4 linked regions of the Anolis sagrei genome follow. The protein of the gene in region 4 interacts with the protein of the main gene of each other region in a pairwise test. Links are inferred from orthologs where the notes say so. Each region holds a gene or a part of one and is shown on either strand. Other genes may lie near its edges.

Region 1 (8,007 bases), on a different chromosome or scaffold from region 4:
CCGAAGGTAGGATCAGAAAGTTTAAAAAAAGAAAAACAAACAATAAGGCTGTCAAAATGATCAAGTGATGAAAAGCACATTAAAACGTCAAATTAAATGTATTTTTAGCTCACTGAAAGACAAATGTGGTCATAATGATCACATGCAATAAATTACATCTAGTCATGATGCTTGACAGCATTCACTCAGACAACACACCACATAGAGATGAAAATTTTGCACTTACACAAAAATACAAATTATTCTCTTTCACTTTAAACACACCAGCGGATACATCATATGCCTTTTATGAGCCATCTATAGCTATCAATTTCCCCAAAATGTTTGGATTGTATTCTAAGCTGTGTCCCATTCCAGCCATCGTGGTAAATTAGCCTTGATGAAAGCGACATTATTGAAAGAGCCAGCCAATGCTGTCAACTAATAATTATACACTGCCAAGTTGGGTAACCTACAGATGTCTTTTAATATTCACAACTGCTTTAAATAATATACCTACATGAAAAGTTCTGTGGAGCACTTTCTCCAACTGAAGGTCCAGCGTTATTTAACAGCACTTCCTCTGGAAGACTTGAAAGAGTTTCAGCCTCAGAAATTGGGGCTACTTATTACAATATGTCATGTTCCACGTAATCGATAATACGGATGGTTATGCACAAACACCTAACAGCTGTCACTTTGGAAATACAAGTAATAGCACATCATAACAATATCGCTACACACAAAACCTGACATTTTATCTCACTTAAGTTCATTCTCTCTAGCTTGTCCTGTGCTGTTTTTTGACAGGAAAAGCGAAAGAAATGTCAGGGAATGGATAACTTTTCAGCTTTTGCTTTGTTGTCTCTCCTGTTCTATTCAAAATAGCAAAAGTAGCAGTATTAGTGGTAATGATAATAATGAACATAATTGGCCCCAAAATTGGCAAATTATCCTTCCTACTTATAAAAATGTTCCATAACAAGCTGAAACAGATAACGTGCCTTCCTAGACTTGGGTTGCTGAGAGTTTTCCAGGCTGTATGGTCATGTTCCAGAAACATTCTCTTCTGACATTTCACCCACATCTATGGCGGGCATCCTCAGAGGCTGTGAGTTATATTGGAAACAGCAGGCAAGAGTTCTTTCTCCCACTCTGGACCGTCCACAAGCATATAAACCTCACTTGCTTAGATTTCAACAGACCTCACAAGCTCTGAGGATGCCTGCCATAGATGTGGGTGAAATGTCAGGAGAGAATGCTTCTGGAACATGGCCATACAGCCCAGAAAACTCAAATAACCGAGTGATTCCAGCCATGAAAGTCTTTGACAACACATTTTCCTAGACTTGGAAATAATTTTCTCTCTTTATATTTTTTCTTAGAAATCACCCAGGTTAGTTACCTGGGTGATTTGCCTGGCTGATTTGCCTAGAAATGACCCAGGTTAGTTGCCTGTCAGCGGGACGGCAGAGTTAAACTACACTGCTACAACCAAGCTATGCTACAGCTTTTGAATGTGCACTTTAAGTCTCCCAGTATCAACAGACCCCCCCCCCCCCCCCTGGGCTGCTTCAGATGAATACATTTCCAAAAGTAGAAGCAGTTGCCCAACTTCTAAAGCATCACTCATGGCATGAAATGTGAATGCCTTCTATCAACACAACCAATCAGAGCCCATTAGCAGGTGCATTCCCTGTCATCACCCTATTTACACTGGATACCTTTAGCATTGGGGGTACCTATTATGCATCACACCCTATTTATAAGGAAAGGGAGATGCATAATAGGTACCCAATGCTAAAGATGCCCCACTCATAAGAAATGTTCGTATTTCCCCCAAAAGAAAGTTGAAGAAATGGGAGGAAATGCTGCAAATGTGAAAGAACACGCTCTCCTCCCCCTTCCCAAAACTTCTTTGGAAACTATCCTGCTCCCAGAATCCCAAGGAAAGCGAGCTGGGTTGAACTCTGGTCTGATATCCATCCAGGAACAGAACTGTCCAGCACGCTGTCCTTTGGCAGAGGGTCAGGAGAGAGGAATGGAAGGCGAAGAAGCCAGGCAGGCTTGGATTGCCTAGAATGCATGTATGTATGCATAGAGAGACCCATACACACACCCATGCAGACACTCCCCGGGCGCTGCTGCTGCTGCTGCTCCGGGGCTGGGCTCACCTACCGTCCTCCTTGTCGAGCACCATCATCTCCGGGGTCGCAGGAAGTCCGGGGAGCGGAGGAAGAGGAGGAGGAGAAAGAGGAGGAGGAGGAGAGGCTCTTCTGCTTCTTCTTCTGCTGCTGCTTCTTCTTCTTCTTGGGCGCCCAGAGGAGCCCCGGCGTCGCGCGGCGGATTGTCCTTTCGCAGCGAGCGCGAGCTCTAATGATCCAGTTGCCCGGCTTTTAACCTAGATTGCACTCAGTTAGAATTACCTTCGAGAAACGCAGCACTTTGCAGATACAAAAGCGCCCTCTCCCACTTGCCTTTCCCCCTGAATTGCAAGGAACTCAAACTGCAATTGAAGGAGCAAAAGGGGGGAGAGAGGGAGAGAGAAAGAGAGAGAGAGAGAGAGAGGAGGAAGGAGCAGGGGAGGCTCGGCGCGGCTCCTTTGGTGCTTCTCTCACCTTCTAAATGGCTCAATTTGCACAGTATAATCTGTTTTAATGTAATTGCCTTTGATAGCCCATCACCTTGGCGGTGGCAACTCTACCGCTTTCAGCCTTAGAGAAAGTGTTTTTCCCCCCACCTCGGATAGAAGCTGGATCTCAATCTAAAAATTACACTCAGCCAGAGGGAGGAGGAGGAGGAGGGGAAGAGAGGGACCAAGGCGAAGAAGAGGAAGAGGAGGAGGAGGAGGAGGAAGAAGGAAAACACCTCGCCGCCGCTGCCGAGGAGCTATTGCTATTGCTATTGCTGTTGCTGCCGCCTCCTGTGCCTCTCCATTTGTGTGAGCCTTGCGCCCTGGCTGCTGAATAAATGCGCTCATTTCCAGGGACCCCCGCTTCTTCTTCTTCTTCTTCTTCTTCTTCTTCTGTCAGGCTCTAATGGGGAAGGCAAAGCTTTCCAGCTCAGCAGCACCACCTGCAGCACCTTCTGCGCTAAGCCCAGGAAAGGCAACGCACTGGAGGGGGGCACTTGCCATCAACTTTGTGCCTGCCTTTTCGGGCTCATCTTTCTTCAGGTCACTAGGTTTACTCCTGAATGGAACCCACCTTTAATCTGTGGGGCAGGCAAAAGGGAAAGGTTGCATTGAATCCTAGAGTTGGAAGAGACTTCGAAGGCCATCCAGTCCAACTCCTTGCCAAGAAGCAGGGAAACGGTTTTCGGTCCAACTTACCTATCCGAAGGTATCTCTCTTTATGAACCATTTAGGACAGTGGTTCTCAACCTGTGGGTCCCCAGATGTTTTGGCCTTCAACTCCCAGAAATCCTAATAGCTGGTAAACTGTCTGGGATTTCTGGGATTTGTAGGCCAAAACACCTGGGGACCCACAGGGTGAAAATCACTGATATAGGACATTAGGATCTTCTGCTCTCGGTCACGCCTTCTTCGCAGATGCATTTGGGCCTTCTCAGTGGTGGCCCCTCAACTGTGGAACGCCCTGCCTAGAGAGATAAGATCGGCCCCCTCCCTCCTGACTTTTCAAAGAATGGTGAAAACCTGGCTTTCTGAGCAGGCCTTCCCAAATACGAAATAGATATATGATATCTTGGAACCACTGACAATGCAACGGGACAATGATTTGATATGGAGACGCTTATGAGAATGCTTTTAAGGTTTTTATATTTTTATATTGTTTGCTAGTGTTATGATTCTTAATTATTGTAATTGTTTTGGCATCAAATTGTTGCCGATTGTTAACTGCTCCAAGTCGCTCTTGGGCTGAGAGGGGCGGTATATAAATGTAGTAAATCAATCAATAAATAAATGCATTCAATGCATCCCTCTGCTTAAAAGCCTCCAAAGAAGGAGCCTCCACCACACTCCAAGACAGAGAATTCCACTGCTGAACCACTCTCACAGTCAACAGTTTCCCCTGACATTAAGTCTAGTCGTATCCTAGTGATTGGAACCCACCTTTAATCTGTGGGGCAGGCAAAAGGGGAAGGTTTCACTGAATCCTAGAGTTGGAAGAGATCTTGTGAGCCATCCAGTCTAACCCCCTGGCAAGAAGCAAGAAAACAGATGACCATCCAGCCTCTGCGTAAAAGCCTCCAAAGAAAGAGCCTCCACCACATTCCAGAGAGTTCTACTGCTGATCAGCTGTCACAGTGGACAGTTTCCCCTGACATTGCATCTACTTGTGTCCTAGTGATTGAACCCACCTTTAATCTGTGGGGCAGGCAAAAGGGAAAGGTTTCATTAAATCCTAGAGTTGGAAGAGACCTTGTGGGCCATCCAGTCTAACCCCCTGGCAAGAAGCAGGAAAATTGCATTCAAAGCACCCCCAACTGATGGCCATCCAGCCTCTGCTTAAAAGCCTCCAAAGAAGGAGCTGCCAGCACACTCCGGGGCAAAGAGTTCCACTGTGAACTGCTCTCACAGTGGGCAGTTTCCCCTGACATTAAGTCTAGTCGTGTCCTTGTGATTTGAACCCACCTTTAATCTGTGGGGCAGGCAACAGGTAAAGGTTTCCCTGAATTAAGTCTAGTTGTGTGTGACTCTGGAGGGTGGTGCTCATCTCCATATTTAAGCCGAAAAGCTAGCATTGTCCATAAACACCTCCAAGGTCATGTGGCCAGCATGACTGCATGGAGCGCCGTTACCTTCCCGCCAAAGCAGTTCCTATTGATCAATTCATATTTGCATTTTTAGTACTGCTAGGTTGGTAGAAGCTGGGGCTAACAACAGGAGTTCACCCACTCCCTGGATTCAAACTGCCACCTTTAGGTCAGCAAGTTCAGCAGCTCACACTGTAACCCTCTGCACCATCAGGGGCTCCAGGGCAAGCAAAACTTCCCCTATATTTTTCCTTCAGGGAAAACTTATCCCTATATTTCCCCCTCTTATTTATACACAGATTCTCTTGCAAAGCACACCCTACTTTCTGCTCACTTCCAAACCAACATGACCAGGGACTTCCAACAAATCAAATTGCATGCTCCAGAGGCAATGTTTAGAGATTGATACATCCATATGCATCCTCTTTTCACTATGGGATGTGAAACAATACAGGTTGAGGGTCCCTTATACAAAATGTTTGGAGGCAGAAGTATTTGGGATTCCCCCCCCCCCCCCCAACCATATTTTGGAATGTTTGGAATGCCTGGGCTTGCATATATGTATATCACGAGCTATCATGGAGATTGGACCCAAGTCTAAACAGGCAATTAATTTATCAAAGGCTTTCATGGCCGGAATTACTAGGCTGCTGAGTTTTCTGGGCTGTATGGCCATGTTCCAGAAGCACTCTCTCCTGACATTTCACCCACATATATGGCAGGCATCCTCAGAAGTTATGAGGTATATTGGAAACTGATTAATTTATGTTTCATATACATTTCACACACACAGCCCAAAGGTAATTTTATACCTAATACATTTGTGCATGAGAGAAAGTTTGTCTATGTCGAACCCCCAGAAAGAAAGGATGTCACTCTCAGCTACTCATGTGGGCAGTTTCAGATTTTGGATTTCCAGATAAGGATTTTTTTATCATATCAGAAGCAACTTGAGAAACTGCAAGTCGCTTCTGGTGTGAAAGAATTGGACTTTTGCAGAATTGGACTGGGGAGGCTCCTCTCATGCTCCTGCCTGGGAAGCTGGAGCTGACAGACGAGAGCTCACCCTGCCTTGTGGATTCAAACCACTGACCTTTGGGTCAGCAGTTCAGCTGGCACAAGGGTTTACCCCATTGTGCCATCACAGTTCCTTCCAGATTTTTTTTTCCATGTCAGGAACGACTTGAGATATTGCAAATTGCTTCTTGTGTAAGACAATTGGCCGTCTGCAGAGACATTGCCCAGGGGATGCCTGGATTTGTTACCCTCCTGTGAAGGCTTCTCTCATGTCCCTTCATGGGAAACTGGGGCTGACAGATGGAAGCTCACCCTATCTCACAGCTTCAAACCACCACCTTAAGGTCAGCAGTTCAGCCGGCACAAAGGTTTCGCCCATTGCACCACTGCGGCTCCTTCCAGATAAGGATAATCAACCTGCATTGTGTAATTTTTCTCTCCTTCGGTAAGTGTACATGCATGAGGCAAGTTTGATTTCAAACAAATGGGTTCCCACCAGACAAGGTTGAAGGTTATCATACAAGTGAGTCTTTCACCTTATGTCTGAATTCATTACATCCAATATTTCTGTGTCTGAATGGATCTAACAAATAACTTTATAAAACACACTCTGCTTCTCATCTCTGAATGCAGTATCATTTTTTTTCATGCCAGAAACAACTTGAGAAACTGAAAGTCGCTTCTGGTGTGAGAGAACTGCCTATCTGCAAGGACATTGCCCATGGGACGCCCAGATGTTTTACCATCCTGTGGGAGGCTTCTCTTATATCCCTGCATGGGAAGCTGGAACTGACAGATGGGAGCTCACCCCGTTCCCCAGATTTGAACCTCCAACCTTTCAAGCTGCAGTCCTGCTGGAACAAGGGTTTAACCCATTGTATCACAATGGACTCAAGTACCATATATCAAATATAATAGTCATACAAACTCTTAATCTAAATCATGGGTTCTTGCATAAAAGGGGCAGGATTTCATAGAAAATTAAGAGCCTGCCTCTCCTCTTAATGATGCCTTGAGTATGGAAAGTGTAGAGCCCTTTCACCAAAGCCCTCCTTCAGTTCAATCATCCCACCATTCCCAGCTAAGTCACTGCAACACTTAACGTAGCTGGCAACATCCAAATCTGAAATGGAGTACCTCTCTCTGCACATATATCTCAGACTGTATCCTCAATAGTTTCTGTGTTTCTACTGCAAAAACCACGAGTAAGGCTTTTATGTATGTGTTGCTAAAGAATAAGTGTCTGATTGCCTTTTTGCAACCCAAGAAAACATTTTCCCCCAGTCTCCATGATACTTCTCCCTCTACTTTACAACAGATACAAGAATCGCCTTTTAAAAGCATGAGAGCAAGTTCAAGCCAGATACCCATAATACCTATTTTTAATTAGATTTCTTATCTTAAACTCAAATAATGTGGTCATTCCCTTCATTTTGAATGCTTAACCCTAATAGTTCCTGGATGTATTTGATGTCCAATATATCATTTTGCCCAGAGAACCATTTCATTCAGTTCCCGAAACTTCCAATTTTAGCCACTACCCACTTCTTAGAGCAAGAATACAAACATTATAGGTGGGATTTTTATACCACGATCCCTTATTTCAGAAGAAATCTTCCAGTCATTCCCAACAAACCTAATCACCAGTAGTTTCAGACCAAAGCATCAAAGCACTGCATTTGGAAGCATCACTTCTTCCAAATTCAAACATTCACAGCATCTGTTTAGCAGGATTTCGGTCAGCTTGGGTTGTTGAAATGAATTATAAAAACAAATACAATACTTCTCTAATATACTATTAAACTTCAATAACTATCAACCTCTAATATAATAATAATAATAATAATAATAATAATAATAATAATAATAAATTTGTAGACCACCCTATTTCCCCGAAGGAACTCATATAATAATTTTTGAAGCATCGTTGTCCCCAAATAATACCACTAGCTTCTTTTAACTTTCTGTTATTTGAGGCAGATTCTTATCATTACAGTATTTCAGAGGAAGAAGATGCCTTACACCATCTAAACGTTTCTCACTAATTTTAAAGAATAGTTGATAATGCTGGACAAGGCCCTCTAAAGTAGAGATATTTAGCTTTTTCCTCCATTTATTCTCCTTTGTCCAAACAGGGTGTGTGTGTGCTTGTGTGTGTTTAATGGTCTCCAAATGACGAATAAACTAGTAGCACAATACAGCTAATGTTAAAACAATTTTAAAAGTCCCAATGATTTCAAGGAAGAGTTAAATATCTTGGTTACTGAAATCCACACAATTAAAAGGTGCTTAATT
Region 2 (7,310 bases), on a different chromosome or scaffold from region 4:
AGCCAGAACATCCGTCTGTACCCCCCACACCAGGTCCTGGAGTCCCTCAGGTGGTGGACAACGGAGGAGCACGTCCTTGCAGGCATGGCTTTCAGACAACCGCGCCCATCCCGCTGCCTCACAACGGATGCGTCCACGCAAGGATGGGGGGCTCACTTCCAGAATCTGACAGTGCACGACAGATGGTCTCACGAGGAGGCTGCCTACCACATAAATTACCTCGAGCTCCTAGCCGTCCAGAAGGCCCTGCGTGCTTTCGAGCCCCATATCACCGGGCGCGCTGTACAACTTCTCACGGACAATACAACTGTAAAATGTTACATAAACAAGCAAGGCGGGATGCGCTCCTCCGACCTCCTCGGCTTATCCACAGCAATATGGGAATGGTGCATCCCACGAAGGATACATCTCACGGCAGTGCACCTCCCGGGCGAAGACAATACTCTCGCCGATGCCCTCAGTCGAGCACAGACATCAAATCACGAGTGGCAACTCCATCGAGACGAGTTCCGGTTCCTGTCCCGCCATTGGGGCCAACCAACCCTGGATCTGTTTGCGTCGCCAGTGAACGCACAGTGCGACACGTTTTGTGCCAGACGTCACCCCGGATCGACCCAAGGGTGCATGGGGGACGCATTCATATTCAGCTGGTCACCGGGCCTACTATACGCCTTCCCCCCAATCCCGCTGATTCCCAGGGTGCTGACCAAATTGATCGAGGACAACGCGGATGCGATACTGGTCGCCCCCTGGTGGCCGCGCCAGCACTGGTTCGCTCCCCTCCTCAAAGCTTCGAGAGGCGAATACCTCCATCTACGAGACAGACCGGACCTCCTCTCCATCCAGGAGGGCCGGGTGTATCACCCAGACCTGGTCTCCCTGCGCCTCACAGCGTGGAGAATCCGGGTCCAGCCCCTCTCTCGGAGGCAGTGCAGGACATAATCGCAGCGGCCCAAAAAGCCACGACCAAGAAAGCATATGCATACAAATGGTCACGCTTCCGGGAATACCTCAAGCCTCTGAATGTTAACCCCCGGGAAGCCCCGATGGGGGTCATACTGGACTTTCTAGTGCATCTGTCCAACAAAGGGCTCTCCTTGTCTTCCATCAAATGCTACCTGGCGTCACTATCATGGTACTGGAGACAGACAGGGAGACCATCGTGCTTCCATGACCCCACGATACGGCTCTTCCTTAAGGGGTACTCCAACTTACACCCACCTGTCATGCCTCCTCCCCCAGCGTGGAGTCTAGAACTGGTGCTGTCACAGCTCTCCAAACCACCCTTTGAGCCACTGGCCACATGCGACCTGTCGCATCTCTCATGGAAGACGGCCTTTCTCGTGGCCATTATATCGGCCAGGAGAGTGAGTGAAATCTGTGCTTTGAGAGTTGACGCACCCTACCTACGATTCCACAAAGAGAAGGTGGTCCTCCGACCAGACGTCGCCTTCTTACCAAAGGTTGTTTCTAAGTTTCACCTGTCACAGGACATTTCTCTATTGGCCTTCTTCCAGAATCCTTCTTCTCCTCTGGAGGTTTCCCTGCATTCTCTAGATGTCAGACGGGCTCTAGCGTTCTACACTAGCAGAACCGCCCCCCACAGGAAGTCAGTCAAGCTTTTTCTGAAATACCGCCAGGACTCTCTAGGGCTACCTGTCTCCTCCCAGCGCCTCGCTTCGTGGATCGTCTCGACCATCAGACTTGCTTACCTGCTGGCAAAGAAAGAGCCCCCTCAGCAGATCCACGCCCACTCCACTAGGGCGGTGTCAACCTCGCAAGCTTTCCTGAGGGGTATTCCAATTGACGACATCTGCAAAGCAGCGACATGGTCCAATTCGTCAACATTCGCCTCCCACTACAGGCTAGATGCGATGGCAAGGAAGGATGCAGCCTTCGGCAGAGCGGTGCTGTTTTCCAGTGTCGCATGACTCCCACCTCCGAAGGTTGGTAGCTTGCTATTCACCCATTATGTGCGTTTTTCACAGACTACACGAAGGGGAAATGCGAGTTGCTTACCTGTAACTGCGTTTCCCGAGTGATAGTCTGTGAAATTCGCACATCCCCGCCCGACCTCTCCGCAGTAGTCATGCTTGTTCTATAGCTGCTGATAGCGGCTGCGGAACTGAGTCGAGGTTTCCCGCCTTGGGCATTTATAGTATGGGGAGTTTGGGCGGGGCGTCCGCCAATTAAAAGTTTCTATTTGAAAATTCTAGAAGGTTCCGAACGGCTGCGCATGCGCAGAACAAAACCCATTATGTGCGAATTTCACAGACTATCACACGTGGAAACGCAGTTACACGTAAGCAACTCGCATTTTTTTGATGTTGAGCTGCAACCCGGCTTTTGCGCTTTCTTCTTCCACCTTGATTAGAAGGCTCCTCAGCTCCTCCTCGCTTTCGGCCATCAGAGTGGTGTCATCTGCATATCTGAGGTTGTTAATGTTTCTTCCAGCCATTTTCACCCCAGCTTTGCATTCCTCAAGCCCCGCACATCCTCGCATGATGTGTTCTGCATACAAGTTAAAAAGGTTGGGTGAGAGGATGCAACCTTGCCGTACGCCTTTCCCAATCTGGAACCCGTCTCCTGTTCCGTGGTCAGTTCTGACTGTGGCTACTTGGTCCTTGTCCAGATTCCTCAGGAGAGAGACAAGGGGGCTTGGGATGCCCATCCCACCAAGAACTTGCCACCATTTATTATGATCCACACAGTCAAAGGCTTTAGAGTAGTCAATGAAGCAGAAATAGATGTTTTTCTGAAACTCCCTGCCTTTCTCCATTCTCCAGCGGATATTGGCAATCTGGTCTCTCGTTCCTCTTCCTTTTCTAAACCCAGCTTGAACATCTGGCAACTCTCGCTCCATGTATTGCTGGAGTCTTCCTTGCAGGATCTTGAGCATTCCCTTCCTGGCATGAGAAACAAGAGCTACTGTACGGAAGTTGGCGCAGTCTTTCGCATTTCCCTTTTTTGGTATATATATTAATATTATATTGTTACATATTATTCATACTATATTGTTATTCATATATAATATACTACATATCATTCCATATATTATTTATATATTATTTATTAATATGCATATATATATAATATTCCATATATTATTATTTATATACTATTTATTCATATGTGTATATATTTATATAATATATATTTTCCATATATTATTATTTATATATTCAAACGCATATATATAATATATTCCATATGTTATTAGTTATATATTATTTAGAGGAGAGGAGATTCCATCTGAACATGAGGAAGAACTTCCTGTCTGTGAGAGCTGTTCAGCAGTGGAACTCTCTGCCCTGGAGTGTGGTGGAGGCTCCTTCTTTGGAAGCTTTTAAACAGGGGCTGGATGGCCATCTGTCAGGGGTGATTTGAATGCAATATTCCTGGGGCTGGATGGCCATCTGTCAGGGGTGATTTGAATGCAATATTCCTGGGGCTGGATGGCCATCTGTCAGGGGTGATTTGAATGCAATATTCCTGGGGTTGGGTGGCCATCTGTCAGGGGTGATTTGAATGCAATATTCCTGGGGTTGGATGGCCATCTGTCAGGGGTGATTTGAATGCAATATTCCTGGGGCTGGACGGCCATCTGTCAGGGGTGATTTGAATGCAATATTCCTGGGGCTGGATGGCCATCTGTCAGGGGTGATTTGAATGCAATATTCCTGGGGTTGGATGGCCATCTGTCAGGGGTGATTTGAATGCAATATTCCTGGGGCTGGATGGCCATCTGTCAGGGGTGATTTGAATGCAATATTCCTGGGGTTGGATGGCCATTTGTCAGGGGTGATTTGAATGCAATATTCCTGGGGCTGGATGGCCATCTGTCAGGGGTGATTTGAATGCAATATTCCTGGGGCTGGATGGCCATCTGTCAGGGGTGATTTGAATGCAATATTCCTGGGGCTGGATGGCCATCTGTCAGGGGTGATTTGAATGCAATATTCCTGCTTGGCAGAATGGGGTTGGACTGGATGGCCCAGGAGGTCTCTTCCAACTCTTTGATTCTGTGATTCTATGATTTGTGTGTGTGTATATGTGTGTGTGTGTGTGTGTGTATAAACATATGAATAAACATATTGGAATGACAATATGAGCTCGTTTGAGCCACAACAATAGCAGCTTCTCCCAGAAACCCACTCTTCTAAGACTTCAAGTCCCCGGATGCAGCTGCTGTGTCTGAGTTGGCAGGGGACGAAATGGAACGGAAGTCCTTTGCTCCGTGTTGCGGGAGGGGCGGCTGTCAGCGTGGCACCGCGGGCCGGAACCGGAAGTAGCCGTAGTAATAGCGGAAGCGGGCGGGTCTGAGGAGAAGGAGGAGAGCGCTTTTCTTTCTTTTTTTCCTCGTTGGGCCTTCGGGTCTTCTCTTCCCCGGCCTTCGCCATGCCGGCGCTGCTGGAGCGGCCGAAGCTGAGCTCGGCCATGGCGCGGGCCTTGCACCGGCACGTGATGGTGGAGCGGGAGAGGAAGCGGCAGGGTGAGACCCGGGGAGAGGGGCAGCTAGGCTAGATACACTCCTTCATGGCGCTAGAGGGGACATCCCAGGGACATCCAGGCCAACCCTCAGATAGATAGATAGATAGATAGATTCATGGCATTGGAAGGGACACTTAAAGGCCATCCAGTCCAACCCACAGATAGATAGAGAGAGAAATAGATAGATAGATAGATAGATAGATAGATAGATAGATAGATAGATAGATAGATAGATAGATAGATAGATAGATAGAATTATGGAGTTAGAAGGGACACCCAAAGGCCATCTAGTCCAACCCACAGATAGATAGATAGATAGATAGATAGATAGATAGATAGATAGAGATGCACTTAGAAGGGACACCCAGAGGCCACCCAACCCCAATAGATAGATGATAGATACATTGATTCATCTCTTCATGGCGTTAGAAGGGATATCCAAGGGACATCCAGTCCAACCCCCAGATAGATAGATAGATAGATAGATAGATAGATAGATTCATGAAGTTAGAAGGGACCCGAAAAGCCATCCAGTTCAATCCATAGATAGATAGATAGATAGATAGATAGATAGATAGATAGATAGATAGATAGATTGAATCATGGTGTTAGACGGGACACCCAAAAGACATCCAGTCCTACTCTCAGATAGATAGAGAGCTAGAAAAATAAATCCATGATATTGGAAGGGACACCCAAAGGCCATCCAGTCCAACCCACAGACAGATAAATAGATAGAGAGATAGATGCACTTAGAAGGGACACCCAGAGGCCACCCAACCCCAATAGATAGATGATAGATACATTGATTCATCGCTTCATGGCGTTAGAAGGGATATCCAAGGGACATTGGAGTCCAACGTTCAGATAGATAGATAGATAGATTCATGAAGTTAGAAGGGACCCGAAAAGCCATCCAGTTCAATCCATAGATAGACAGATGGATAGATAGAATCATGGTGTTAGAAGGGACACCCAAAAGACATTCAGTCCAACTCTCAGATAGATAGATAGAAAAATAAATTCATGGCATTGGAAGGGAGACTTAAAGGCCATCCAGTCTAACCCACAGATAGATAGATAGATAGATAGATAGAATTATGGTGTTAGAAGGGACACCCAAAGGCTATCCAGTTCAATCCTCAGATAGATGCATAGATAGATAGATGCATAGAAAGAAAGAAAGAATGAAAGAAAGAGTGAATGAATGAATGAATGAATGAATCATACACTTACAAGGGACACTCAGAGGCCACCCAACCCCAATAGATGATAGATACATCGATTCATTGCTTAATGGCGTTAGAAGGGATATCCAAGGGACATCTTGCCCAACTTTCAGATAGATACATAAATAGGTAGAAAGGCATTGGAAGGGACACTTAAAGGCCATCCAATCCAACCCACAGATAGATAGGTAGATAGATAGGTAGGTAGATAGATAGATAGAATTATGGTGTTATAAGGGACACCCAAAGGCCATCCAGTCCAACCCTCAGTAAAAAAAAAAAGGTTGGGAACCACTGATGTAAGAGTTTAAGTACTGGACTAGAACTCTGGAAGACCAGGGATCAAATGAACCCTCGCTCGGCCATAAAAAGCCCCTGAGTGGCCTTGGGAAAGTGCCTCTCTAAGCCTTAAAGGAAGGCAACAGGAAAACCCTTCAGGATAAATCTTGCAAATAAGACCCTCAGAATCACCTTGAGGCACACAGCAACCACCTTCCTCTGAGTTGAGGTTGACCCTTCCGACTAGCACCAAATTAAAGTTTTGCACTCGACATTGTCCCTGTATTGTTCCAGGAAATCAATTATCTGTGGACCTCTCTTTCTGTCCTGCAGAGGAAGAAGAAGTAGACAAAATGATGGAGCAGAAGATGAAAGAGGAGCAGGAGAGGCGGAAGAAGAAAGAGATGGAGGAGCGCATGTCTCTGGAGGAGACCAAGGAGCAGGTCGGTGGTTGGGACCAGATTCCAATGCCGTGTGCCTTCGGAATCCACAGGGCGTTCATTCCAGGATTCCCCAAAGATGCTAAAGAATGTGCAGGCTCATGTCCCTTTTAAAATTGTGTATAGCAGCAGCACAAGTTGCAGCAAGCCTCACTAACAATCCTCTTCTCCCTTTTGAGTAAATCCTTTCAGTGGAGTTTTCCTATTTCCAACAGACCTCACTACCTCTGAGGATGCTTGCCATAGATGCAGGCAAAACGTCAGGAGAAAATGCCTCTAGAACATAGCCATATAGCCCGAAAAACCTACAACAACCCGGAGTTAAAACAGACATAATAATAATAATAATAATAATAATAATAATAATAGTAATAGTAGTAGTAGTAGTAGTAGTAGTAGTAGTAGAACTACAAAGACTCTGGCACAAACCAGTAAATGTGGTCCCAGTGGTGATGGGCACACTGGGTGCAGTGCCTAAGGACCTTGGCCTGCACTTAAACACAATCAGCGCCGACAAAATTACGACCTGCCAGCAGCAAAAGGCCACCTTACTGGGATCTGCATGAATTATTGGCCGATACAGGACAGAGTCCTAGACACTTGGGAAGTGTCCGATGTGATCCAATACAACAGCCAGCAGAGTGATCTTGTCTGCTGTGGACTCATCTTGTTGTGTTTCTAATAATAATAATTCTTGCCCGCCACTCCCCACAGCTTGGGGAGGTCACAGCACAGTTAAAAACACACAAATCTATATATATAAATCTGTTAGGTTGGTTCAACGGGACAGCAAAACTCTAAAAACCCCCAACAAAACTTAACCAAAATTCCCATGCCCATAACACAACCCACAAGGTACAAACATATCTAC
Region 3 (7,716 bases), on a different chromosome or scaffold from region 4:
AGGAAGGAAGAAGAGAAGGAAGGAAAGAAAGAGGTACCGAAGGAAGGAAGAAGAGAAAGTAGAAAGGAAAGGAAAAGGTAAGGAAAGGCAGGAAAGAGGTAAGTAAGTAAGTAAGTAAGGAAGGAAGGAAGGAAGGAAGGAAGGAGAAAAGGAAATAAAAAGTGAAAGAAGGAAGGAAATGGAAGAAAGGAGACAAAATAAAAAGTAGAGAAAGGGGGAGGGAAGGGAGGAAAGAGAGAAGGAAGAAAGGATAAAAAGGGGAAGGGGAAGAAAAAGGGAAGGAATAGGTAAGTAATGCCCTTTCATAATAGTCCAGATATCTACCTCTACTTCGAAAATTCTTACTATAGGCCACAGCAACGCATGGCAGGGCACAGCTAGTGTGTGCGTGTAAATAAATGCTCTGTTCGTTTTGAGTGACATCATAATTCAAAATCCGCTGGACGAATTGCTGCCAAATTTGACCACAAGACATCTAAAGCAAGGAATAACCATCACTCAAAAAATTGATTTTGCCATTTGGGAGTTGTAGTTGCTGGGATGTATAGTTCACCTACAGTCAAAGAGCATTCTGAACTCCACCAATGATGGAAATGAACCGAACTTGGCACACAGAACTCCCATGACCAACAGAAAACACTGGAAGGGTTTGGTGGGCATTGACCTTGAGTTTTGGAGTTGTAGTTCACCTACATCCAGGGAGCACTGCGAACTCAAATAATGATGCATCTGGACCAAACTTGGCATGAATACTCAATATGCCCAAATGTGAACACGGAGTGTGGGGAAAAAATACCTTGACATTTGGGGGTTGTAGTTACTGGGATTTATAGTTCACTTTCAATCAAAGAGCATTCTGAACCCCATCAACGATAGACTTGAGCCAAACTTCCCACACAGAACCCCCATGACCAACAGAAAATACTGTGTTTTCTTGTGGTCTTTGGCAACCCTTCTGACACCCCCTTGCAACCCCCCCAGGCGTCCCGACTCCCAGGTTGAGAAATGCTGCCTTAAGGCCATCCAGTCCAACTTCCTTCACCAGGGCAAGAAAACATAATCAAATGCCTCCTGACAAAGAGCCATCCAGCCATAGATATAGATAGATATATGTGATACACACGCACACAGAGACACACACATATGTATATGACAGATATAGTCTCATAGATTTGAAAGGGACCCCTAAAGATGGACAATAATATGTTGCATGTTCCAGAGTAGGCAAACCAGACAATCTCTACATCAACACTGACAAAGAAACAACAAGGAATACTGGGTTGTTGTAGGTTTTTTTGGGCTATATGGCCATGTTCTAGAGGCATTCTCTCTTGACGTTTCGCCTGCATCTATGGCAAGCATCCTCAGAGGTAGTGAGGTCTGTTGGAACTAGGGAAATGGGTTTATATATCTGTGGAATGACCAGGGTGGAACAAAGAACTCTTGTCTGCTGGAGCTAGGTGTGAATGTTTCAACTGACCACCTTGATTAGCATTTGATGGCCTGGCAGTTGTTTGATGTTGTTGAATGTTTTTATGTTGAATGTTTTTATATTGTGTAAATGCTATTTTAGATTGTAAGTCGCTCGGAGCACCTTGGTGGAGAGCGACTAATTAAGAAATAAAGTGAAGTGAAGCGATGTGGCATGTTGGTGCCTGGGGCAATCTTTTGTTGAGAGGTGATTAGATGTGCCTGATTGTTTCCTCTCTGTTGTTTTGCTGTTGTAATTTTAGAGTTTTTTTTAACTCTAGTGAACAAGAAATACTGTTTACCCACAAGCATAAAGAAATTACATATATGAGAAACCAACACTTTCTAATTATTTTCCAGATCTCCAGACTGGGCCACAGCAATGCGTGGCAGGGGACCGTTAGTTCCTAAATTAATAATAATAATAATAATAATAATAATAATGCTACCGGGCTCAATTCAAAGTGCTGGCGTTGGCCTATAAAGCTCTAAACGGTTCTGGCCCAAGTTACCTATCCGAACGTATCTCTGCCTATCAGCCCACCAGGACCCTAAGATCTTCTGGGGAGGCCCTGCTGGCGGGGACGAGAGACAGGGCCTTTTCTGTGGTGGCCCCCCGGCTGTGGAACGCCCTTTCTATGGAGGTAAGATCAGCCCCCTCGCTAATGGTGTTCCGAAGAAGATTAAAAACTTGGATGTTTGGACGGGCATTCGGTTAAACAGTGCAATGAATGTGATGATTACAGGAATGGAAATTTGGACGACGGATTGGATCACGACTCTAGTTATGAGATGCATTGTGTTGTCTATTGTTGTGTCAATATTGTATATTATGCTTTTATGGTTTTAAATTATATATCGTTGATTGATTCTTATCCTTGTTGTAAACCGCGTTGAGTCGCCTGTTGGGCTGAGAAACTGCGGTATACAAGTAAAGTAAATAAAATAAATAAATAAATAAATAATAATAAAAACCCTGGAGGGCCCAAGGAAGGAAGGGGCCTGAGACTGTTAGGAATGGTGGGAGTGAAGTCCAAAACCTCTGGAGGGCTCAAGTTTTCCCAGGCCTGGTATATATTGCAAATAAAGCCAGCCAAAGGGTTAAGACAGAGGTCTTCCCTCAGGGATGACTTACCCCAGTGCGGTTCGTTCAAACGTACAGCAAGAAAACGGGCGTTTGGTTCTGGCCTCTGGTTCTGAAGAAACGAGCCCTGGGTTTGGCAGGAGCCTCAGGTCGCAGTTATGCTAATTTTCGTGAAGTGGAGGTGACGTCTCTAGTTCAAGGGCGCTCGCACTCTGGTGTGTTTACTATCGAGAGCCATCTCGTTCAGGAGGCAGGCGGGCAGCGAGTTAGAGCATCGTCACACAACGGAAGCGTCCTCTCCTAGCAACTGCCCGGAGGGCTTACCCGCCACCGATAACGAGGAGACATGGATCTCCTGCCTCGAAACGCCGCGAGGCCCAAAGAGCGGCCACGTCGCTATGGCAACGTGTGCTAGCGCGCCGCCACGCCCCCTCTCCCTGCTTCCCTCCGCTGCCGCGCCAACCTTCTGACCCCGATTCTCTGGGTAGGCTGTTTACCTCTGTTGCCTAGCAACGCTCACGCACATGCCGCCTAGCCATTCCTGTTCTGCCTTTTTACGCGAAGTGCCAATCGGGCCTGTCAGGCGCCGCTGGACTACATCTCCCATAATCCCTTGACGCTCACTGTAGTGGCAGGGGAGACTGGGAGTTGAAGTCCATTTGGGTTGGACTTGAACTTGGATGTTCAAACAGGCATTTGGTTAATTCGGTGCAATGAATGTGTTGATTACGGATTGGTAATATGGATGATGCAATTGGACCACGATTTTAGTTAGGAGATGTATTGGATTGTGATTTTGTGATTTCGTGTAATATTGTGTATTATGTTTTTTATGGTTTTAATTGTATACTGTGCACTGTATATTTTGTTGTAAACCGCGTTGAGTCGCCAGTTAGGCTGAGAAACGGCGGTATACAAGGACAGTAAATAAATAAATAAATAAATAAATAAATAATATATGTAATTTCTTTATGCTTGTGGCGGTAAACAGTATTTCTTGCTGTTTCTTTGTCAGTGATCTCATTACTACTCTGGAACATGCTACTCTCCGAACGCATCTCCTCCTATGAACCGACTAGGACACTAAGATCATCTGGGGAGGCCCTGCTCTCTGTCCCGCCTGCATCACAGGCACGCTTGGCGGGGACAAGAGACAGGGCCTTCTCGGTTGTGGCCCCTCGGCTGTGGAACGCCCTGCCTGCAGATATCAGATCGGCCCCCTCCCTGCTGGCGTTTCGGAGGAAAGTGAAGACCTAGCTGTTCAAACAAGCATTTGATTAAACAATGTCATTGAACATAGGAATGGAATAATGTATGATGAGACTGGATTCTGATTTTACTGTTGAGGCACTAATGATTGTTATTCTGATGTTTAATGATTTATGTTACAATTGTTTTTAATTGCCCTATACTTGTCTCGTGATGCTTTGTATCGATGTTGTTCGCAGCTTTGAGTCGCCTGAGGGCTGAGAAAAGCGGTATATAAATAAAGTAAATAAATAAATAAATACTGCTCATTGGAGGGAAGAATAGTAGAGGCCAAGATGAAGTACTTTGGCCACATCATGAGAAGAAAGGAAAGCTTAGAGAAGACAATTATGCTGGGGGGGAAGGAAGAAAAAAGGAAGAGGGGCTGACCAAGGGCAACATGGATGGATGGTATCCTTGAAGTGACTGGATTGACCTTGAAGGAGGTTGGGGAGGTGACGGCCAACAGGGAGCTCTGGTGTGGGCTGGTCCATGAGGTCACCAAGAGTCGGAAACGTCTGAACTAATGAGCAACAAAGAGGTCTCTTTCAGATCTTTCAGTGGTGCACATCTTGTTACATCCTGAATCGATTACTGCAACGCACTCTATGTGGGGCTGCCTTTGAAGACTGTTCAGAAACTTCAACTAGTCCAACGGGCTGCAGCCAGATTACTAACTGGAGTAACATACAGGGAGCACGCCACCCATTTCTTGTGTCAGCTCCACTGGCTACCAATCCACTTCTAAACTAAATTCAAAGTGCTGGTTTTGAGCCATAAAGTTCTATACGGTTCTGGCCCAGCTTACTTGTCCGAATGCATCTCCCACTAAGTCCCGCCTTGCAGTTTAAGATCATCCAGGGAGGCCCTGCTCTCGCTCCCGCCAGTGTTGCAAATACATCTGGCGGGGACGAACGACAGGGTCTTCTCGGCTGTAGCCCCCTGCATGTGGAACTTGCTTCCCAACGAGGTAAGATTGGCTTCATCCCTCCTGTCTTTTAGGAAGAAATTTAAGTCGTGGGTCTAGGACCAGGCTTTTGGACAGCAGGCATAAATAGCACTTTGGATATGGAATTAGACTGGAATGGTGATACAGCGGTTAATACTATTTTTATTGTTTTAATTAATATTCTATTTATTGTTTTAATTGTTGTTATATCGCTATGTTATATTTAATGACATCAAATTGTGCCAAATGTAAGTTGTCTCGAGTCCCTCTTTGGAGGTTGAAAAGGACGGGATATAAATGCTGGAAATAAATAAATATAGGCACTAGGAACATCTCTGAAAATTCCCTTTTTAAAACCACACCTCCTCTAAGATCTGTTGAAAAAACCCAATTTTCCTAGTTTCTAACAAGACCTCACAACCTCTGAGGATGCCTGCCATAGATGCAGGCGAAACGTCAGGAGAGAATTTTAATCAGTTTTCATCAGTTTGTCTTTTTAATCACTACATGTAGCCTGCCTATTATTATTGTGCCTGTGCATATTTTTTAATATTGTTATGTATTCATATGTTTTATGCAACTATGATTTTATTGTTTATTGTTCGTGTTTTCGGTTTGTGTTTTTGGTTTTTCTTTATTGTAATTATCATTTGGGCTTGGCCTCATGTAAGCCGCTCTGAGTCCCCATTGGGGAGATGGTGGCGGGGTATAAATAAAGATTATTATTATTATTATTATTATGGAACATCGCCAACAACCCAGTCTATTGGATGTTAGCAATTGGGAGAGTTGAAGTCCAAAATACCTGGAATGTGGGCCAAAGTTTGGCCATGCCTGATATATAGTATATTTGTGTGTGTATGTATATACCAGGCATAGGCAAACTTTGGGCCTCCTTCCAGGTGTTTTGGACTTCAACTCCCACAATTCCTAACAGCCTCACTTCCGGACTACGGCTTAGGGAGGGGCCTCTCTAGTCAGAGACGGAGGCCAGCTCTGTGGTTTCGCAGTCGAGCCGTTAGTGGCGGTTAGAACCCTGAACGCGCGAGCTGGCTGCTGATTGGCTGAGGAAGGCGGCCCCTCTTCTGAGGAAGGGAGGCTGTCGGGTATACGTTCAGGCGGCCCCAAAGACCCTGCAGGTGCCAAAAGCGATCCCCCGCCCCCTTTTTACATATGCATGAAGATGCAAATGAAGGCAGGGTTTACCCTCTGCCCTTGCCTTGACATTTGGCCTTCGACTTCCCCCTTCAGAGGACATGCCAGCTCTCCTCATGGAGCCATCTCTGGGGGCTGGTGGGGGGATATGGGCTCTGTATCTGCGTTATCTCTCTGGCCTAATGGCACTTTTACTTTTGATCCAGGGACCGCTGACCATGGCTGAGGGAGATGGACTCGTGTCAATCGATTACGAAGTGTTCGGGAAAGTGCAAGAGGTGTTTTTCCGCAAATACACACAGGTATCTGCCCATCCTGGCATGTCAAGGGTTTGACTAACACAGGCATTGGCAAACTTCGGCCCTCCAGGTGTTTTGGACTCCAACTCCCACAATTCCTAACAGCCTACCGGCTGTTAGGAATTGTGGGAGTTGGAGTCCAAAACACCTGGAGGGCCAACGTTTTCCCATACCTGGACTAACATAAATTAAGGCTACTTGAGTTGAGTGAGGCTAAGGCCACTTCCACACACCTGAATCAAATCCCACATTATCCGCTTTGAACTGGGATATATGGCAGTGTGGACTCAGATAACCCAGTTCAAAGCAGATACTGTGGATTTTTTGACTTGATATTCTGGGTCATATGGCTGTGTGGAAGGGCCTTGAGGTTGGATCTGCACTGCCCAATATCCCATGATCTGATCCCAGAGTATCTGCTTTGAACTAGATTATATAAGTCTACACTGCCATATAATCTGGGATAAACATTATCCCAACATTATTTCCAATTTTAACTTTACATTTGGCCTTCCCACTGTTTTTAATTGTGTGTTGTCTTAGTGATAATGTTGTATATTTTATTGCTTATCTTTTTTTATTTTTAATGGCTTGTATTGTTGTTTATTGTCTGTATTGTTGTATTTGGGCTCAGCCTCATGTAAGCCGCACCGAGTCCCTTGGGGAGATGGTAGCGGGGTACAAATAAACTTGTTGTTGTTGTTGTTGTTATTATTATTATTATTATTATTATTATGGGGTCCTGGAATATAGGGCAGCGTTGAAGGGACCCTACTTAAGAGCAGAAACATTCAAGGTTAATGCTGTTAGAATCAGCTGTCTGGCTATTATTTATTTATGTCTCACTTTATATTTCTAAAGACACCCAAAGTAGCTTAAAATATATTCATTTTGCATTTCCAGGGGTGGGGATAGAGGGTTGATAACAGAAACGAGTTGAACAGCATTTTTTTTTACTCTTTTAAGGAAATCGATTCTTATAAAAAAAAGGCAGCTTATACTTTTCTCTGTATTCAGACAGATCATTGCATCTTCTTCAGGAGATATTCTGTATATGGATTTTTCTCCTTTAGGCTCAAGGAAAAAAACTAGGTGTAGTTGGCTGGGTCCAGAACACTGACCAAGGCACTGTGAAAGGACAGATCCAAGGCCCAACTCTCAAGGTTCGGCAGCTTCAAGAATGGCTTCAGAAGACTGGAAGTCCCAAGTCCCGCATTGACCGAGCTGAATTCCGTAGCGAGAAGAAGATCACTCGCTTAGAACATAGTGATTTTTCTATTGTCAAATAACAAGGGCCAAGGGAGCACAGCACCTCATTCATGGAAAGAGCCTCAAGTTTTCCCTTTAGTTTTCTGTTTGTTCATTGTTTACATGCATATTTGTTCACTCCCAAATGTTATTTATTTAGTGTTTATTGAATGGCCAAATATATAGTCAGACTTAGTAATGTATAACCTTGATGTGTTAATAGAGCATACCTCCAGAAGTATGCAAAAATTGGATTGCCACAT
Region 4 (7,269 bases):
CTGGCCGACACCTGCTCGACCTTACAACCATTGACTTGTGGGGTCCCACAGGGATCAATGCTGTCCCCCATGTTGTTTGACATTTACACTGGGGGAGATCATCTGGAGTTTTGGAGTTCAATGTCATCTGTACACAGATGAAGTCCAACTCTATCTCTCCTTCCCACCTGCTACTGAACTGGTCCTGAACTTGGCAACTGTCACAGTCTGGATGAAGGCAAATACATTGAAACTGAATCCAGACAAGACAGAGGTACTCCTGGTCAGTGGTAAGGCCGAACAGGGCATAGGGTTACAGCCTGTGTTGGATGGGGTCGCACTCCCCCTGAAGACGCAGGTTCGCAGCTTGGGTGTGATCCTGGACTCAACGCTGAGCCTGGAACCCCAGGTTTCGGCGGTGACCAGGGGAGCATTTGCACAGCTAAAGCTTGTGCGTCAGCTGCGCCCGTACCTTGGGAAGTCTGACTTGGCCACGGTAGTCCACGCTCTGGTTACATCCCGTTTAGACTACTGCAACGCTCTCTACGTGGGGTTGCCTTTGAAGACGGCTCAGAAGCTTCAACTAGTCCAACACTCGGCAGCCATGATTCTAACAGGAGCGGAACGCAGGGAGCATACAACCCCCCTGTTGTGCCAACTCCACTGGCTACAGATTTGCTACCGGGCTCAGTTCAAAGTGCTGGCGTTGGCCTTTAAAGCCCTAAACGGTTCCGGCCCAAGCTACCTATCCGACCGCATCTCTGCCTATGAACCCACCAAGACTTTGAGATCTTCCGGGGAGGCCCTGCTCTCAATCCCGCCTGCCTCACAGGTACGGCTGGCGGGGATGAGAGATAGGGCCTTCTCGGTGGTGGCCCCTTGGCTGTGGAACGCCCTTCCCACAGACATTAGACTAGCTCCATCATTAATGGTATGCCGCAAAGAAGTGAAAACCTGGTTGTTTGAGCAGTGCAATGAATGTAATGAACATAGTCAGTGCAATGAATGTAATGAACATAGGAATGGAACAATGGATGACGGATCTGGATCATGTTTTTCAGTGACGAGACGCTAGTGAATGGCTATTGTTATTAATTGTATATTATTGTATAATGTGTTATGATGTCAACTGTTTTTTATACCGTGTTATTGTAGCATTGAATTTTTGCTGTTCTTGTTGTTTACCGCTGTGAGTCACCTAAGGGCTGAGAACAAATAAAATAAAATAAAATAAAATAAATAATTTAATTGTGTATATTATGATGATGTCCAACTCTGTCACTCCTTTCCACCTGCTACTAAGGAGGCTGTCCAGGTCCTGAACCGGTGTCTGGCCGCTGTGACGGTCTGGATGAGGGCGAACAAATTGTAACTGAAGCCAGACAAGACAGAGGTACTCCTGGTCAGTTGCAAGGCCGAACAGGGTATAGGGTTACAACCTGTGCTGGATGGGGTTGCACTCCCCCTGAAGACGCAGGTTCGCAGCTTGGGTGTGATCCTGGATTCTCCACTAAGCTTGGAACCCCAGGTTTCAGCGGTGACCAGGGGAGCATTCGCACAGTTAAAGCTTGTGCGCCAGCTGCGCCCGTACCTTGGGAAGTCTGACTTGGCCATGGTAGTCCATGCTCTTGTTACATCCCGTTTAGACTACTGCAATGCTCTCTACGTGGGGTTGCCATTGAAGACGGCTCGGAAGCTTCAATTGGTCCAGCGTGTGGCAGCCATGATACTAACAGGGGCGGCACACAGGGAGCATACAACCCCTCTGTTGCTCCAGCTCCATTGGCTACCAATTTGCTACCGGGCCCAATTCAAAGTGCTGGTGTAGGGGCAAAAACGATCAAGACAATCCACAAATCCAAAATCCAAGAGCAGATTGCCCCTTCCCAAGGAGGGCGAGGAAGGACACCACGAAAGTTGAATCTTTAAAACTGCAAAATGCTATTTATTGCGCAGCTGAAGCAATAGTGACAAACATGCATATGGAAATGCAATAAAGGGGTTTGTCCAACCTAAAGTTGGTTGCATTGATTATTTATGACTTTCATTAAAACAGTTTGATTGGTACATAGAAATCAATCATCTCATTGGTTCCCAAAGACAAATCATTTCATTGGTCTAAGTTAGCTATGCAGTTGTTCATTAGTTGTTTATGATTTTGATTTTTTTTTTTGAATAGTGTTTATTCAGGATTTTTTTTTTTGAAGACACATAGCTAAAACGTACAATTATACAGTTACACTGTTACACTGTTACACAGTTACACAATTACACAAATATTCAGTTATGGTCCGCTAGGCATTGAATATTGCACAATAAACATTACATATTCCACAGTCAGCCCTGGGGTTGGGGTGGGTATAGGGTAAAGGGAGGGAAAGTGTGGGCGGGGGGGGGGGGGGAAGGTTAGTGGGGGGGGGTGCTAGAAGGTTGGTGCTACATAGCACCTACACACACAATTACAGAGGCATCATTCTATCGACAAGTTACAATCAACAAGTGGACTTCCTCAGAGATTCAGCAGAGTTATACTAGTAACAATAGAAAACAAAGTCTCTTGATCGTCTACGCCGCTTCCCAAATCTTGTAAAATTATAAAATTATACTCTTCTTTTCTTTCAAATATTGCCTGAATGGTTGCCAGTCAATCTTGCGTCTCTCGCTAATCTCGTAAGTCATAGTTGCAAGAGTGTCCATCTCCATTAAATCTCTAATTTTTAATAGCCAGGTATCAATTTTTGGTAATTCCTTACTCTTCCACTTGCCGGCGAGCACAATTCTGGCGGCTGCTGAGAAGTGAAACAACAACATATCTTTGTTAGGGTCTAACTGAAAATCTAATAAATGTAAAAGATAATATTCTGCTTTAAACTCCACTTTTATCTGCAGGATCTTCTGCACTGCCCTATGCACCTCCCGCCAGAAGTTCCTGACTTTTTTGCACTGCCACCATGCGTGATAGTGGGTACCCAGCTCCCCCCCACACTTCCAGCAGTCACTGTTCGTTCCTTTGTGGAATTTTGCCATCTTCTGTGGAGTTAGGTACCATCGGTGGAAGATTTTTTGCCAATTTTCTAGTATGTTGGTGGATTTTGCAAATTTTAATTTTCTCTTCCATATAGCCTCCCACTCGCTGAGGAGAATAGAGTGCCCGAAATCAGCTGCCCAGCTGGTCATATTCTCCTTTACAACTTCCAGTTCAGTTTCCCACTCCAGGAGTTTCCCATAAAGGGTTCTGACCACTTTTTTATCCTTTTCCATTATTTTGTCCCACAGTGACTCTTGTGGGGAGAAGTCTTTCTTTTTGTCTTCCTTAAAGCAGTCAGTAATTTGCATATAATGGAACCAGGAGATTTATGATTTTGATTGACATTATAGCACACATGGCTTTGGCCTATAAAGCCCTAAACGGTTCTGGCCCAAGTTACCTATCCGCATCTCCACCTATGAACCCACTAGGACTTTGAGATCTTCCGGGGAGGCCCTGCTCTCGATCCCGCCTGCAACACAGGCGCGGCTGGCGGGGACAAGAGACAGGGCCTTCTCGGTGGTGGCCCCTCGGCTGTGGAACGGCCTTCCCACGGACATCAGATTGGCCCCCTCATTGATGGTATTCCGGAGGAAAGTGAAAACCTGGTTATTTGAACAGGCGTTTGAATAAGCAGTGCAATGAATTTCAGGAAATGGAACTACGACTGACAAGTTTGGATCATGATTCTAGTTATGAGACGCCACTGAATGTTTATTAGTGTTAAATTGTTTAATTTGTTTCTGTGTTAACTGTTTTTAAGTACCTTCTTGATGCCACATTGAATTTTTGCCTTGATTGTTCGCCTTGTTTTTGCTTGTTGTAAACTGCTATGAGTCGTGTTAGGGCTGAGAATGGCGGTATACAAATGAAGTAAATAAATGATAAATAAATAAATTATATTTAAAAATTATTATATTATATCCATATTTTATTATATTCTTATTTTCAATATATATATATATATATATATATATACACACACACACATATATATATATATAAATATATATACACACACACACACATTCTTGTTTTCAATTTGTGTATTTTATAGTATACTATTATTATTATTGTCATTAGTATTCTTATTATGAGCTTCATCCTATGAGTCTGGAAATGAGCTTTTCGGGCCACCGTAACCATCGAGACGAAAAACTAGAAAGTCAGAGATGAGAAAATGAGGGCGGTCACCACGAAACGTCGCTACGTCGCCCATTATTGTTTCCTCATTCAATCCGCTTGCTCCTGCAAGGCGTCACTTCCGGGGCGGGCTTCACCATTGTCAACGCTGAGCTCGCAGGCGCAGTCGCAGTCGCTTGAAGGCCAAACAGGAAGTGGCGCTCATTTCAGCGAGGAGAAGGCTGTGAAGAAGAAGCAGGCCTTTGTTTCCCTTTCACGAAAGAAGGAAGGTAAGAAATATATATATATAATATTATTATTATTGCCATATTTATGACTATCACATATTAATATATTTTATATTAATAAACTATTATAAAAGGGTTGCCATGGAAACCGTTACGGGGCTTGTTCTGCCTGGAAACAGTGGGTTAAACAGTATTTATTATTATATTTATTCTATTGTATATAATAATATGCAATTATCTATCTATCTTCTATCTATCTATCTATCTATCTATCTATCTCTATCTTCTATCTATCTATCTTCTCTCTCTCTCTCTCTCTCTATCTTCTATCTATCATCTATCTATCTATCTATCTATCTATCTATCTATTATATCTCTATCTATCTGCTATCTATCTATCTATTATATCTCTATCTATCTATCTTCCATCTATTATATCTCTGTCTATCTTCTATCTATCTATCTTCTATCTATTATATCTCTATCTATTTATCTATCTTCTATCTATCTATCTATCTATCTATTTATTATATCTCTATCTATCTATCTTCTATCTATCATCTATCTATCTATCTATCTATCTATCTATATCATCTATCTATCTTCTATCTATCTATCTATCTATCTATATCTATCATCTATCTTCTATCTCTCTCTCTATCTATCTATATCTATCATCTATCTTCTATCTATCATCTATCTATCTTCTATCTATCTATCATCTATCTATATCTATCATCTATCTATTATATCTCTATCTATCTATCTGCTATCTATCTATCTTCTATCTATTATATCTCTATCTATCTATCTATCTATCTATCTATCTTCTATCTATTATATCTCTATCTATATATCTATCTTCTATCTATCTATCTATCTATCTATTATATCTCTATCTTCTCTCTATATATTATATCTCTATCTATCTATCTTCTATCTATCATCTATCTATCTATCTATTATATCTCTATCTATCTTCTCTCTATCTATTATATCTCTATCTATCTATCTTCTATCTATCATCTATCTATCTATTATATCTCTATCTATCTATCTATCTATCTATCTTCTATCCATCTTCTATATCTATCTATCTATTATATCTCTATCTGTCTATCTATCTTCTCTCTCTCTCTCTCTCTCTCTTCTATCTATCTATCTTCTATCTATCTATCTATCTATCTTCTATCTATATATATAAAAATGCTCTGTGCATAATGAGTACCTTAAAAACAAAAGAACCAATGAACGAAAGCACACCAAATTTGGCAACAACACGTCTCACAACACAAGGAGTGACCATCACTCAAAAAATTATGATTTTGTCACTTGGGAATTGTAGTTGCTGGGATTTATAGTTCACCTATAATCAGAGAGCATTCTGAACTCCAACAATGATGGAATTGAACCAAACTTGGCACACAGAACCCCCATGAGCAACAGAAAATACTGGAAGGGTTTGGTGGGCCTTGACCTTGAGTTTGGGAGTTGCAGTTCACCTACATCCAGAAGCCACTGTGGACTCAAACAATGATGGATCTGGACCAAACTTGGCACAAGCACTCAATACGCCAAAATATGAACACAGATGGAGTTTGGAGGAAATAGACCTTGACATTTGGGAGTTGTAGTCACTGAGATTCACAGTTCACCTACAATCAAAGAGCATTCTGAACTCCAACAATGATGGAATTGAACCAAACTTGGCACACAGAACTCCCACGACCAACAGAAAATACTACAATGGTTTGGTGGGCCTTGACCTTGAGTTTGGGAGTTGCAGTTCACCTACATCCAGAAAGCACTGTGGACTCAAACAATGATGGATCTGGACTATACTTGGCACAAATATTCCATATGTCCAAATATGAACACAGATGAAGTTTGAGGGAAATAGACCTTGATGTTTGAGAGTTGTAGTTACTGGGATTTATAGTTCACCTACAATCAAAGAGGATTCAGAACCCCAGCAATTGGGGCAAACCTCCCACACAGAACCCCCATGACCAACAGAAAATACTTAAGGCCATCCACTCCAACTCTCTTCTTCACGAGGGCAAGAAAATGTAATCAGAGCCCTCCTGACAAAGAGCCATCCAGATATAGATATAGATAGATATATATGATTCACACACACACATAGTATCATAGATTTGAAAGGGACCCTTAAAGAAGGACAATTATATGTTGCATGTTCCAGGGTGGGCAAACCAGACACTCTCCACATCAACACTGAAAAAAAAACCAAGAAATACTGTTTACCCACAAGCATAAAGGAATTACATATATTAGAAACCAACACTTTCTCATTACTTTATTTTCCAGATCATCAGACTGGGCCACAGCAATGCGTGGCAGGGGACAGCTAGTGTGTGTGTGTATATATATATATAAATGCTCTGTGCATAATGAATACCTTAAAAACAAAAGAACCAATGAACGAAATCACACCAAATTTGGCAACAAAACGTCTCACAACACAAGGAGTGATCATCACTCAAATATTATGATTTTGTCACTTGGGAGTTGTAGTTGCCGGGATTTATAGTTCACTTACAATCAAAGAGCATTCTGAACTCCACCAATGATGGAATTCAACCAAACATGGCATACAGGACTTCCATGACCAACAGAACACACTGGAAGGGTTTGGTGGGCATTGACCTTGAGTTTGGGAGTTGTAGTTCACCTACATCCTGAGAGCACTGTGGACTCAAACAATGATGGATCTGGACCAAACTTGGCACAAGCATTCAATACACCCAAATATGAACACAGATGGAGTTTGGGGGACATAGACCTTGACATTTGGGAGTTGAACTTACTGGGATTTATAGTTCACCTACAATCAAGGAGCATTCCAAACCCCACCAATGATGGAATTGGGCC

Evidence for each region.
Region 1: the proteins of TFIP11 (region 4) and LMO1 interact in binary tests that used the Homo sapiens proteins (3 or more experiments, as listed by UniProt). The two-hybrid records come from large-scale screens. The link is inferred for Anolis sagrei from reciprocal best matches to the Homo sapiens genes TFIP11 and LMO1.
Region 2: the proteins of TFIP11 (region 4) and GPS2 interact in binary tests that used the Homo sapiens proteins (3 or more experiments, as listed by UniProt). The two-hybrid records come from large-scale screens. The link is inferred for Anolis sagrei from reciprocal best matches to the Homo sapiens genes TFIP11 and GPS2.
Region 3: the proteins of TFIP11 (region 4) and ZC2HC1C interact in binary tests that used the Homo sapiens proteins (3 or more experiments, as listed by UniProt). The link is inferred for Anolis sagrei from reciprocal best matches to the Homo sapiens genes TFIP11 and ZC2HC1C.

What each region holds. Positions count from the first base shown.
Region 1 is NC_090021.1:250,807,663-250,815,669, forward strand, and holds the start of LMO1 (rhombotin-1), read right to left. Parts: upstream 3,017-8,007; 5' UTR 2,183-3,016; coding exon 2,158-2,182; intron 1-2,157. UniProt on the Homo sapiens protein: May be involved in gene regulation within neural lineage cells potentially by direct DNA binding or by binding to other transcription factors.
Region 2 is NC_090026.1:4,566,076-4,573,385, forward strand, and holds the start of GPS2 (G protein pathway suppressor 2), read left to right. Parts: upstream 1-4,302; 5' UTR 4,303-4,398; coding exon 4,399-4,492; intron 4,493-6,332; coding exon 6,333-6,442; intron 6,443-7,310. UniProt on the Homo sapiens protein: Key regulator of inflammation, lipid metabolism and mitochondrion homeostasis that acts by inhibiting the activity of the ubiquitin-conjugating enzyme UBE2N/Ubc13, thereby inhibiting 'Lys-63'-linked ubiquitination.
Region 3 is NC_090021.1:304,973,489-304,981,204, reverse strand, and holds the start of ZC2HC1C (zinc finger C2HC domain-containing protein 1C), read right to left. Parts: upstream 3,016-7,716; 5' UTR 2,606-3,015; intron 1-2,605. Other genes in the region: ACYP1 (acylphosphatase-1), read left to right, coding at 6,008-6,208, 7,279-7,494.
Region 4 is NC_090034.1:60,703,958-60,711,226, forward strand, and holds the start of TFIP11 (tuftelin-interacting protein 11), read left to right. Parts: upstream 1-4,263; 5' UTR 4,264-4,419; intron 4,420-7,269. UniProt on the Homo sapiens protein: Involved in pre-mRNA splicing, specifically in spliceosome disassembly during late-stage splicing events. Intron turnover seems to proceed through reactions in two lariat-intron associated complexes termed Intron Large (IL) and Intron Small (IS).